3 linked regions of the Oryzias latipes genome follow. The protein of the gene in region 1 interacts with the protein of each later gene in a biochemical or structural test. Links are inferred from orthologs where the notes say so. Each region holds a gene or a part of one and is shown in the gene's direction. Other genes may lie near its edges.

What was found.
Region 2: the proteins of Na(+)/H(+) exchange regulatory cofactor NHE-RF1 (region 1) and cftr form a complex in vitro, tested with the Homo sapiens proteins (9 studies listed by BioGRID and IntAct, with this or other methods). The link is inferred for Oryzias latipes from reciprocal best matches to the Homo sapiens genes NHERF1 and CFTR.
Region 3: the proteins of Na(+)/H(+) exchange regulatory cofactor NHE-RF1 (region 1) and ezrin form a complex in vitro, tested with the Homo sapiens proteins (2 studies listed by BioGRID and IntAct). The link is inferred for Oryzias latipes from reciprocal best matches to the Homo sapiens genes NHERF1 and EZR.

Annotation. Positions count from the first base shown.
Region 1 is NC_019877.2:24,308,982-24,312,633, reverse strand, and holds part of Na(+)/H(+) exchange regulatory cofactor NHE-RF1, read left to right. Parts: intron 1-991; coding exon 992-1,145; intron 1,146-1,223; coding exon 1,224-1,267; intron 1,268-3,652. UniProt on the Homo sapiens protein: Scaffold protein that connects plasma membrane proteins with members of the ezrin/moesin/radixin family and thereby helps to link them to the actin cytoskeleton and to regulate their surface expression. Necessary for recycling of internalized ADRB2.
Region 2 is NC_019864.2:3,306,193-3,310,628, forward strand, and holds the start of cftr (cystic fibrosis transmembrane conductance regulator), read left to right. Parts: upstream 1-1,559; 5' UTR 1,560-1,775; coding exon 1,776-1,828; intron 1,829-2,486; coding exon 2,487-2,597; intron 2,598-4,436. UniProt on the Homo sapiens protein: Epithelial ion channel that plays an important role in the regulation of epithelial ion and water transport and fluid homeostasis. Mediates the transport of chloride ions across the cell membrane.
Region 3 is NC_019882.2:6,193,114-6,196,765, reverse strand, and holds part of ezrin, read left to right. Parts: intron 1-312; coding exon 313-408; intron 409-1,656; coding exon 1,657-1,931; intron 1,932-3,652. UniProt on the Homo sapiens protein: Probably involved in connections of major cytoskeletal structures to the plasma membrane. In epithelial cells, required for the formation of microvilli and membrane ruffles on the apical pole. Along with PLEKHG6, required for normal macropinocytosis.

The DNA of each region.
Region 1 (3,652 bases):
ATCCGTCTGTCATAAGTGCGTGCAACTTACATTATCCTCACCATATATATTTACCACACGCACGACAATGGTACGTTCCATCTTCAGGTGGCCGTACGAGCCTCATGGGAACTGCAAGACACACCTGCGCTCCCTTCAAGATGTAGCGGCTCCTCTCTGTGACCCTGAACAGACCCGAACAACCCAAAAAGAGAACGGCAGCAGGCCTGCATGGGTGTGTGACTGAGGCCTAAAGCAGAGAGATGGAATTATTATTATTGTTGTTTTAGGAAACAAAGCCTGATTATTGCAAAAGTCTCCTCTCTGATTCCATCTGCATCCTATGAATTACTGATTGGGGTCGCGGCCTCAGGACCCCCCCCCCCCCCACGCCCTGGTTCAAAGTTCAGGTGAAGGAACAAGCCCGTGTCAGCCCGTGTGCACGTTTGTGCGGTGCTCTCATGACTCAGCTGTGTTAAAACATGTCACACGTTATCAGCACAGCAGCCTCCTCTTGCTGGAAAAATTACTGGATCATTTTCTGATAATGGTTCCTTTTTTAGGGTTTGTTCATTCATCTGCTCTTAATCATTTATGGTGAGCGGGTTAAACATTACGGGGAGCTGTCCCAGGCGTGACACCGTGGTGCTGTCGCAGCACTGCCGCTGTGATGAAGGTGGTAATCTGGTTCCACCGGAGTTTACAGGTTTACTACTGGATCTGTGGGGCTTAAGGGAAAACCTCTTTTATTGGGACTTGCTGCAGATCCTGAGTTGTTGGTTTGAACTTCCAAACAGGGTTCAAGTGAGGAGAATCCAAACCTGTGCAGCGGTTTAACTCCCACTTCTCCGCCTGCTGTGTTTCTGTGCAATGACTGAATGATTATATATTTTTTTTGGTTCAAACTCTTCTAAAATGGTAGAAAAGAATGATTTCTTTAGATAAAACAGCTTTTTCAGATTCCCCTAGTCCTCTTTTATTTGACAGAGTTTAACCGCTGCTCCGTCTGCAGGTGAACGGCGTGCCGGTGGCGGGGATGCAGCACTCCGAGGTGGTGGCCGCCATCAAAGCCGGAGGAGACGAGACCCGGCTGCTGGTGGTCGACGCGGAAACAGAAGAGTTCTTCAAGAAGTGCAACGTCACGCCCACCGAGGAGCACGTCACGGGTGAGCAGAAGATCTGAGAAAAGACCTCGGCGACGGGGAGACTCGACTCAAGCCGCCATGTTTCCTCTTCTCCTGCAGGAGCGCTTCCGGAAGCAGAGTCCAGGAGAGAATCAGAGGAGGAGGTGAATACACGCACGCACACACGCACACACAAATGCGCACTTGTGCCTAAAGCGCGTGAATGAACAAAAACGTGTGCAAACGCACACACACACCAACACACACACAGGCATAAAAACACTTGTGCAAAAATACGTTCATAAACAAATACGTGAAAAACTCATGTCCACATGCACAAACACACACAAGTACACACATGCACAAACACAGGCATGAACAAACGCCCTTAAATACATGCTCCTGCAAAAACATGCATGCACAAAGAGACGTGAACAGAGAAGCAGGATGCTGATTGTTTGAACTATAACTTTACTAAGCCAAACTAAACTGACGTTTAGCTGCTTTAAATCTGCTTTTTGACTTTGAATCTGTTGCTGCATTCATTAGCAGTTTTGCAGCTTTCAGAAAAGATGAGTTTGTCAAGCCCTGCAGAAGGGGGAGGGGCTTAGACGGGAGGCTGGAGTCATTAGGAAAAACTGATCTGATTGCAAAAATGAGACTTTAATACGACTTTTACCACCGTGTCATCTCAGTTTGTAGCAAACACAAAAGCATTGCATGCTTTGAGTGCTGCCCTCTAGTGCCAACAGAGCGCCAAAGCAAGTGCCTGTTTGCTGAACGCTTTAAGCTCTCTCGGGCTGTCTGGACATGAGACATGTTGGAAACGTGATGTCCACAGATGAATGTTCACCTCAGCTGCATTTTGAAGGCAGTTCTTGGATCTCCTCCTTTCACTGAAAGACGTCTCCTCCTGCACCAAATGTGAGCAATGCTCCTCTGAAGGGGAACCTGCACAAAGGCTGAGGGGCAAACAAGCAGCCAGTGAACTGTCAGCTGACCCCTCACCATAGAAACCCCCACACACACACACACACACACACACACACACACACACACACACACACACACACACACACACACACACACACACACACACACACACACACACACACACACACACACACACACACACTCTTTCAGAGCAGTGTGTCCTGGAGGATGATGCGATTGCTGCAGCTTTGATTCAGGGATTATGTTAATGAGCTGCTAATGAAGGCCGTTCTCATACTTTCACATGCAGGCGGGGTCACTGAACCACAGTGGCAGAGCGGCCCCCACTCCTGCGGGGGTTTCATGATTGTCTTTGTTTGACTGTCCCAGTGGACCTTCAGCGGAGCAGCTTGTCCATGAGGACAGCACAGGTCTGTGGGGGCCTCCGGGGTCAGACTAGAGTCCACGCTGCTTTGAGGGGGCTGATTAGAGCAGGATCTGCTGCCCCCTGCTGGACTTCACCAGCATTCCCAACGTTCTTAGTCAAATGGGGGCTCGGTCACCGCTGTGGGAACTTCAGGAAACTCCAGGGAGCTCCAGTTTTAGGGACTGCGATCCTTCCACCAATAAAACCTATTTAAGGTTGTTTTTGACCAAAACATCTTCTTCAGAGTTCTCCTAAAACTCCTTTAACCCTTGTGCTGTCTTGTAGGGTCAAGATGACCCCACTCCCAGCGTTAACATGCCTCCACATTAACATTGGGAGTTGGGTCATCTAGACCCACTAGACAGTGCTCTGAACCTTTTTTCTTCAATGATTTGTGAACCTCACTGGTGTCCATGGATTACATGAAATCTTTCCACCTTTATCCACCTTTGTCATGGTAGGGAGAACACCTCAATGGAAGGGGGGGGGTCATCTGGACCCCACAAGACGGGCCAAAAGTGCATATTTTAACCCTATATAACCATTCTTTTTGTATTTGCTCCACACACATTTTCCTTTACAATGATGATATTGTTTTTAAAAGTTTCTGGTCATTTAGATTCTACCATTTATATGATTGATAGATTTTCCTAATTGATTCAAAAGGAAATTCTATCGTTCTGCAGGTCAGAGCATCACCAACACAACTACACAAAATAAAAAGGACAACACTTTAACTCCTGCCTTTTTAATCTGTAGAAACATTTAATTTCAACTAAAAACATGTTTTCTTCAATACTATTTCAATACTTTATTCATGTATTTTATTGGAAAATAGTTCAAGGTCAGTCTAATCATATTCTTGATCATATTTGTAAAGTCAGACTCTCCAGTTTTTACTTCGCTCTGTCGTCAAAAAGCCACATGTGAGTCTCCCCCAGCTGCAGGAGCCTTTAGACCAGGGGGGGGGTCCAACTCATTTTCACTGGGGGCCACATCAGCATAGCGGCTGTCCTCAAAGGGCCAGATATAACTTATACATGTAACTAAATGTAATGCATCTACTCCATAATGTTAAATAACTCATTATTTATTTACTATAACTTTTTAAAGTGACAATTCCAGTTGCATAGAAACATGTTTGCTTGTTACTTTAGCATAAATCCTTTTACATTTTGTCCCCTTTTTA
Region 2 (4,436 bases), on another chromosome or scaffold:
GAACAAGGTTAAGGTCAGGGTCCTCTCATGGCGTCTGTCAGGTCTAGCCGAAAAGCTTTGTGTTGCCTTTTTACTACTAGAGGGAGTTTTTGTGATGCCAATGAAGGTTGTAAAGTTTCATTTAAACACTGACTGAAAATGAAAGGAATGCTGGACTCCTTTAGGTTTTAGACATAGACCTGATCAGTCCAGATCTACCCCAAAACACACACACATCTAACTCCAGATTGAGATGTCGGTTTAGTACCTCCTTTGTTTTGAAGTAACACAGAAACCAAATCCTCTCCAGTATGTCTAGTATTTTGTATAATATATTTTCTTTGAATCAGTATTAGCGTTTCTGTGTGATGCAGAAAGCTACAGTTGTGATTTCTGGATTGTTCTCTGGCTCTGATGCTGCAGAGGAAACGCCGTCCTCCATGCACTCCAGGCTCAGAAAAGATCTGCAACAACTTGCTTTTGACACTGGATCTCTGTTCCTCTGAGGAATGTTTTGAGGTTTTAGTCCTCCCTCCCCTGAAACTGTGTGCAACCTTAAACTGATAACATGTTTCACTTTATCAGTACGTTTAGATGTGCCGGAACTGTTTCTGCTATTTTGTGATTCACTGAAAGGCAGCTGAGCAGAGTAAAACCAGGAGTGGACAGTGAGAGGCAACTCAAGAGAGTCTCTGAGAGACTTGAACTACTGACTCAGAGGGGTCTCACTCCCAACATGTCACGTTCTCAAATGCGTGCAAAGATGTGGACTTTAGGAGGCGATTGTCATTCACTGACCGGTTTGACTCAGCAAAGATTCTCACTCTCTCTGTCAGATTTCTGCTCCCTGCTTTTATTTTGAAGGGAAGCAGTCCTTCAAATGTCCAGACCAGATTTCAAACTTTAAATTGTAATGAAGCTTGTTTACAAAAACTACCAAGTACTAACATTTTTTTGCTGTATGGTCTTGGATGTGGAAAGACTGAAGGAGACCCTGAACATCTCCAGTGACTCTGCTGTCTGTTGTCCAGTGTTTTTATGGTGGTTTTGTCTCCACTAAAACCCCCCACCAAACTCACACACACACACACCCACACACACACCCACACACACACACACACACACACACACACACACCCACACACACACACACACACACACACACACACACACACACACACATTCTGGTTATCATCTTGTATTCCTTTTCAGTGGCTGCTTCAGGGACAATACTGATGATTTCAAATATACATGTTTTAAATGACTGTTAGACTGAAATGAGCTTATAGTATATTTCCTAAAGTTCTGACTTGACAATTGATGTTTTTTTCTTGAAAGATTTACCCTGGATTTATATATATAATACAAAATAAGGGTTTTAAATATGTAAATTCAAAAGTTAAACTTAAAAGTGAGGAAAATAATCTTTGGTCGTGAGTTTTTGTCTTGATCTTGTCATTTGTGTGGAGCTGTTGCCTTTAAAGCCACATGAGAGACAATGAAGGACCTCCGGATGCTTTGAGAAAGTGGGATGGACGTTTTGTCCTCTATATCTCTCTGTCACTCTGGCTAAACGACAGGCAGGGCGAGCCAACAGGAGGCTGACCTGCAGGGAGAGCGCACGTTCGCGCTGAGAAGAGGAGACAGCCGTGCGTTTTTGCGCACGTTTTTAGCGCAGACAAACAGTGAAAGATCTAGGAGGAGAGGTGTCTGTCGGACCAGTGCCGTGCCGTGAACAGATGTGAGCGTTGAGCAGAGACCCTCAGGTGCGGAGAACGCAAACTGGCGCAGTTAGGATGCAGAAATCACCGGTGGAAGATGCCAACTTTGTCTCCAGATTCCTGTTTTGGTGAGACATGTTTAGTCAGTATGTGTGTCTGTGTGAGCGCGCGCCCGCCAGTGCTTTGGGTTGTGTGAGGATGGCATGATGCGCATTTTGCTGCTGATATAAGGGAGCGTTGGCGATCATTTGGAGACAAGAGAATCCAGACTAACTTTAGCTTAAAAAGTTTAACCTATGCTCTGTGTTTTGAACCGTCAGCAGACTCTCTGGTTCAGTCATGTGATTTATTACTGCAATACAGGTGGATCTGAGAGTGAAATGCGCACGTTATTAAAGAAATTCCCCACATGTAATTTTACACTCCTTTTTTTAAAAGCAGACTCAGGCATCGGCGATTCATTATTAATATAATGTAAAATGTGTTTAAATGTGCTCCTTCAGACCTGAGACACTCGCTGCTTTGACGCGTTGAGCCCCCTAACCCCCTAACTGAGGGGTTCGTGCGCTCTTCTTGCGCCCCCAGAGTGCACGGAGCACAAGGAGCATTTTCGAAGCTTCTCGACCAAAACCCTCTCACACTTCGTGTCTGGAAGTTTTATTTTTCCTTGTCAAGTTATCCTTTCACAACATTAGGAATCATTCGAATCCTAACGGAGACCTCGAAGTCCCAGAGTTCCGAAAGCGCGTGTGTGAGCTGCCCGTCTAATGTGTGGCTTTTGTACAGGTGGATCACTCCACTGCTGAGGAGGGGCCTCAACAAAAAGTTGGAGCTGACAGATGTGTACAAGGCTCCATCGTTTGATCTGGCAGACACGCTGTCAGAGAGACTTGAAAGGTTTGTAAGCAGAGAGGTCGTTGGTTGGCCCAGGATGACTTAACTCTGCTCATGGAAATCTACTTCTAGAGTTAGAAGTCATCTTATTGCAAAGTCAACACTAAAATCTCCATGATTATAAATAATCTAAGATGGGTTGTTTTGGATCAAACTCTGACACTTTGGCTTTAGTTATTTTAACGCAGTTAAAAAAAATCGCAGATGAAGAACTAATAGATTTTGCTCAAATAAAACCAATACAACACAAAAGTAACCTTAAAAATATATCTCAACATGAATAACCCAAAGATTTGGGTAGAAGAAATAACCCAAGTGTTTTAAGAGTGTGTTAATACATTCAATTTAGTTTCATTTATATAGGCCAAAATTACATCACAGTTGTCTCAACGGGCTTCACTAATTGTACAAAAAATTTAAAAAGTTATAAAATACAACAGCTGATGGCTAAACTAAACTAAACAGACTAAACTGAATTGTGTTGATGTGTATTCATTAAAAGATTAATGAATTTTGTTGTTACATGAACATTACAGTCTGTTTATGTGGCACATAATTCAGCATTCTGGCTGCTTTGGCAATGTTTTCGATTCAGACATGATGTATTTCTTCCATCTTTTTATAAATTATATTAATTTACAATTTTCTAAATACCTCTGTATAAATCAAATTTAGATTAGGGGATTGAGTCTTACTATCAATCAAGAGCAGAAAGTAGATCAGTGAAGTTGTTTCCTGACAGGACAAGTTCAAATTCCTGTTTAAGTCAGGGTCATCAGAGCTTACAGTATGGAGGCATCCTTTGAGTCCCACTTCCATCATCTTCTGATTTTTAAATGTTCCCAGTGCAATTTTAATCATGATTATGCTGTTTTTAGCCAAAATAATGTAAACAAGTTTCGCTTTCTAGGACATATTTTCTGCAGAGCAGCAGAAGTTAATTAGAAATTCGCCTCTGAGTTGTGGGCGGCACCGTTGGCGTGGAGCAACCACAATCCCCTCCCCGTTGCAGGGCAAAGCAGGGAGCTTATGGCCCACCCAACATATTTTCTACATCACATAGAAGCTCTTTTTCAAACAGCTTTTTTTTGTCGGCTCCTGATTTACAAAGATTTGAATAAAAAATAATCAGAAATGCAATTCTGAACCAAAATTTTCTTTATCTATTTTAAAGTCCCACTTTCTGTCACACACCTAGGTGTGTGACATTTGTTCTCCGCATTTGACCCATCCCCTGGGGGAGCGTTGAGCTGCAGACGAGCCGCGCTCGGGAGGCAGCAGCATTAAGGGTCTTGCCCAAGGGCCCTCACTGGGTGATGTTGTTGATAGCTCGCCATTGATATGGTAATTGCCCCCAGTACCATTGTTTATTCCCCTCCGGGAATTGAACCCTGGATTCCTACCTTACCAACTGAGCTACCCAGCCGCTAGCCATGTCCTCCATCATGAGAAAAATGTTAAAAACACCAAAGAAAAAACCATTTTCTTCAGAGTTGGTGTATAATAGTCAGTGAAGGACTTGATGAAATCCAAAAGTTTAATAGAGAGAAACCAGATTTTCTACAAGTTTGAATCCTGAGTTTCACCAACTTTACCTCCAGATAAAACAGACGTTGATTTCCATCTTCACTACAACTTCTACTTTTAGTCAGAAGGAGGATTTTGGACCACAGAGTCCGGTCCTTCTTCTCTTCAGTGTAGGGAGAACACTTTATTCAAAATCTTCCACAGGAAGTGCAGTCAACTCGTCTTTCCCCATCTTTCGTCTGCCGCTCCGACTTTGGTTTTCATCCTTGTGACCCACCGACCCACATTTCTGTGGTATAGTAGCTTTGCTCAGGA
Region 3 (3,652 bases), on another chromosome or scaffold:
AACAATAGACTCACATTGTCGGAGCCTTTTGGAGCTGCTGCAGCTGTAAGCAAAGACATAAAAAGATTTGAAATATAGGATGTTTTTCCCTTGTTAGGTAAATAAAGCTGCCAGTGGAACCAGTAGAATTTGTCTTGGTGAGATGTCTTCAAATAGGTTGTGATGTCCTGCCCTTTTTAAGAGTAGATGAAGTCCTAAAAGACTATTCAAACATGTAGTTATTGGGTTAGATAAGCCAATTCCTCTCTAAAAGTTTCATACTGCGCCACATAATTTAATAAGAAGTGCACACTTTTCTTTTTCACTTTGCAGGTGGTGAAAACTGTTGGTTTAAGGGAAATCTGGTACTTTGGGCTGCAGTACGTGGACACCAAAGGATACAGCACCTGGCTAAAGCTGGAGAAAAAAGTAAGAAACCTTTTAACGTCATGATCAGGAAGAATAAGTCGGCATTAGTTTGTAAAATACCTCCCAATGTTTCAGAAGTTTATTAGGTGCAACATTATGAATGTTTACTCTTTAAACGTTGGTGCATATTTCCTGCTCATTTCATGAATGCGCATACAGAGTTCATGTTTGTCCTCAGAAAACCGAGAGTGATAAAGACTGTCTCGATTTCAAGGAACTCCTTAATCAGAGATCTTATTTGACTTGAAGTCGATGAGTAGCTACAGCATTGGTGTGCGTCTATTTTATTTTATTTTTTTGCATTTCCAGTATAGCAGCTGGTTTAAAGGACTCATATTATGAGCTGATGGCAGAACTTGTTGAACCCCTGCTTGATTCTCCTAAATTATGCAAATATTTTAGCAATTGAAACAACGAGTGTGAAGGTAGGGACACTGGGCATGTGACACGCATTCTTTAGTCCATGCTGTTAGTCCATGGTATTCACGGTGGACGCACAGGGAGGGCCTTTTTCTTCTTCTGTTCTACTGTTTACTAGTGCTTTTCTGCCGCCTACAGTTGGAAAAGCTCAATACGAAAACTCAAATCTCACAAATCATGCTCCTGACTTTTTCTTTCACAGCTCTATTCCGACATATGAAAGAAATTCCCTCCTTTTTATGTGGAGCCCAAAAACTGTCTTAGAAACTTGCGTAGCTACGTGTGAACAGGAGGGTTTTCAGCACGGAATCCAGAAACACGTTTATTCGCACTAGCATAGACATATCTTTGGAAGTAGCTGCTTGATGGGTGTTGCCGAGGGCGATGTGAGCTTGGCTTTATGCTTGGCGCGCTAAGATTGTGTGCCGATATGGTGTTGCTCATAAGCTCATACTTGACCCAAAATATTCCTAATTGACCTAAATTCAAAATGCCTGGTTCTGTATTCTAACTGGAATCTGTTAAAATAGTTAATTGTTCTAAAGTTGATCATAATTATTTTAAATATTTCCAAATATGCGTCTCTTTTTCTCAAGGTCTCAGTATCGTGTGTTTACATGAGCATAAGTAACCAGGCTATTGGCTTTCTGTTATGTAAACTGAAGACCTGGTTTCTGTAAACCAGGTCTTCAGGATTAGCAAACCTGGGTAGATTTCTCTCAGGGAAATTAGCTTTGAAGATGAAAGGAAAAATGCATGCATGATGATATGGTTTCTAACTTCCACCTGTAAGCCGATTTCTCTAATACTGTAATACATTCTTTACAGGTGACGGCACAAGAAATTAAAAAGGAGAACCCGCTTCAGTTTAGGTTTCTTGCAAAGTTCTTCCCAGAGGATGTTGCCGAGGAGCTGATCCAGGACATCACGCAGAAGCTCTTCTTCATGCAGGTGAAGGAGACCATCCTCTCCGATGAGGTCTACTGTCCCCCAGAGACAGCCGTGCTGCTGGCGTCCTACTCCGTTCAGGCCAGGTTCGGAGACTACGACAAAAGTATCCATCAGACTGGATATCTTCTGTCAGAACGCCTGCTGCCTCAGAGGTAGGAGGGGTTGGCGAGCTTCCAACCAGAAATTGACTTTGATAAGCTTGTTTAGTTTAAGAATTTGAGATGAAATACTTTCTTTGTGAGTTTTTATGTTTTTTTTTTTAGGCTCAAATGAATTCTAGGTGGCTTAATATAAATTGGATTTTTTGGCTTTTTGACAATTCGTATGAAAATCCTGATTGGATGAAAATTATTGGCATCAAAACATGAGTAAAATCAAAGTTTGTTTCCAGGGATATTAACAGCACATCGATCATGTTATGATGATTTCACCCTTGTGCTATCTTAGATGACCCCACCCTTACATTGACATGTTATTCCTACCATGACAAAGGTGAATAAAGGTGGAAAGATTTCATGTAATCCATGGACACCAAATCATTTAAGAAAAAAAGGTTCAGCCCACTGTCTAGTGCGGGGGTGTCAAACTCATTTTCACTGAGGGCCACATCAGCATAGTGGTTGTCCTCAAAGGGCCAGATATAACTGAAAAATAAATGTAACTACTCCTTGATGTTAAATAACTCATCATTTATTTATTATCACTTTTTAAAGTGACAGTTCCAGTTGCATAGAAAACATATGTTTGCTTGTTACTCTAGCATAAATCCTTTTACATTTGATTCTGTCAAGTTAGGTTAGATTGACAGTGTGTAAGTTCTAATGTATAATTCCCCAATCTGATGTTTCAAGTTTAATTCCCCCCAGATATGAATAAATACACACTAATTTTTATTTTTTATCTTAAGAAATTAAAAACTTTTATGGTCTTGCGGGCCACATAAAATGACATGGAGGGCCAGATTTGGCTCCCGGGCCTTGAGTTTGACACATGTGGTCTAGTGGGTCTAGATGACCCAACTCCCAAGGTAAAAGTGCCTAGGATAGCACAAGGGTTAAATAACAGTCTGTGCAATTTTCAGGATTTTAGCTAAATGCCTTTAAGGTGATTGTTCTTTGGATCAAAGTTTAAGAATTATTTATGCATAATTAAGCAAACCATTGAGACACTTCAATCAATGCTGCTTTCAATTTGTTTAACAAAAATAAAGGAACCTTCAGTCATAAAAAACCTTTCCAAGCTTGTGTGAGGATGTTTTAGTACTTTAGATTTAGGGACTTGTGAGATTATTTTTGGGAATTTCCAGGCTGTCTAGTTAGGACTATTTGGTCATGGAGCAAAATAAAAGTCTGTGGTGGTCCAAAACCATTTGGAAAAACCCGCTACTGAATGCTATTAAGAGGCAAAGGAGATTAAAGGTTTGAAAGCTAATTACATTAAATAAGATGAAATAATTGGCAATAACCTTAATTTTCAGTCATTTAATTGCTTCATTTGCTTAATTTAAAATATTTTTAAGCGGATTTACACCAAACTCCTGATTAGTTTAATGTAAACATCCAAAAAAGCTTAAAGGGATAAGGTGTAGCCAGCACCTTCTGTTCTAGAGGTTAATGCTAAACCTCCTCAAAAGACCACTGGAGGCTGGTTCCAAAAAGGAGCAACTTCCCATTAAAAAAAAAAGACAGAGAAAGAAAAAAGGGCTGAATTTACTAAAAGGTTGTGCGAAATCTCTTATTTTGAGGTTCAACTTTCTGAACTTTATTGAAGTGGGCGGAGCTCTGGTCAATAAGTCTGTCCCAATTAGGGCTTTATTTTACTGGTCACTCTTCTACAGGGAAATCAGAGATCTGTTCACATCTATTTATTTATG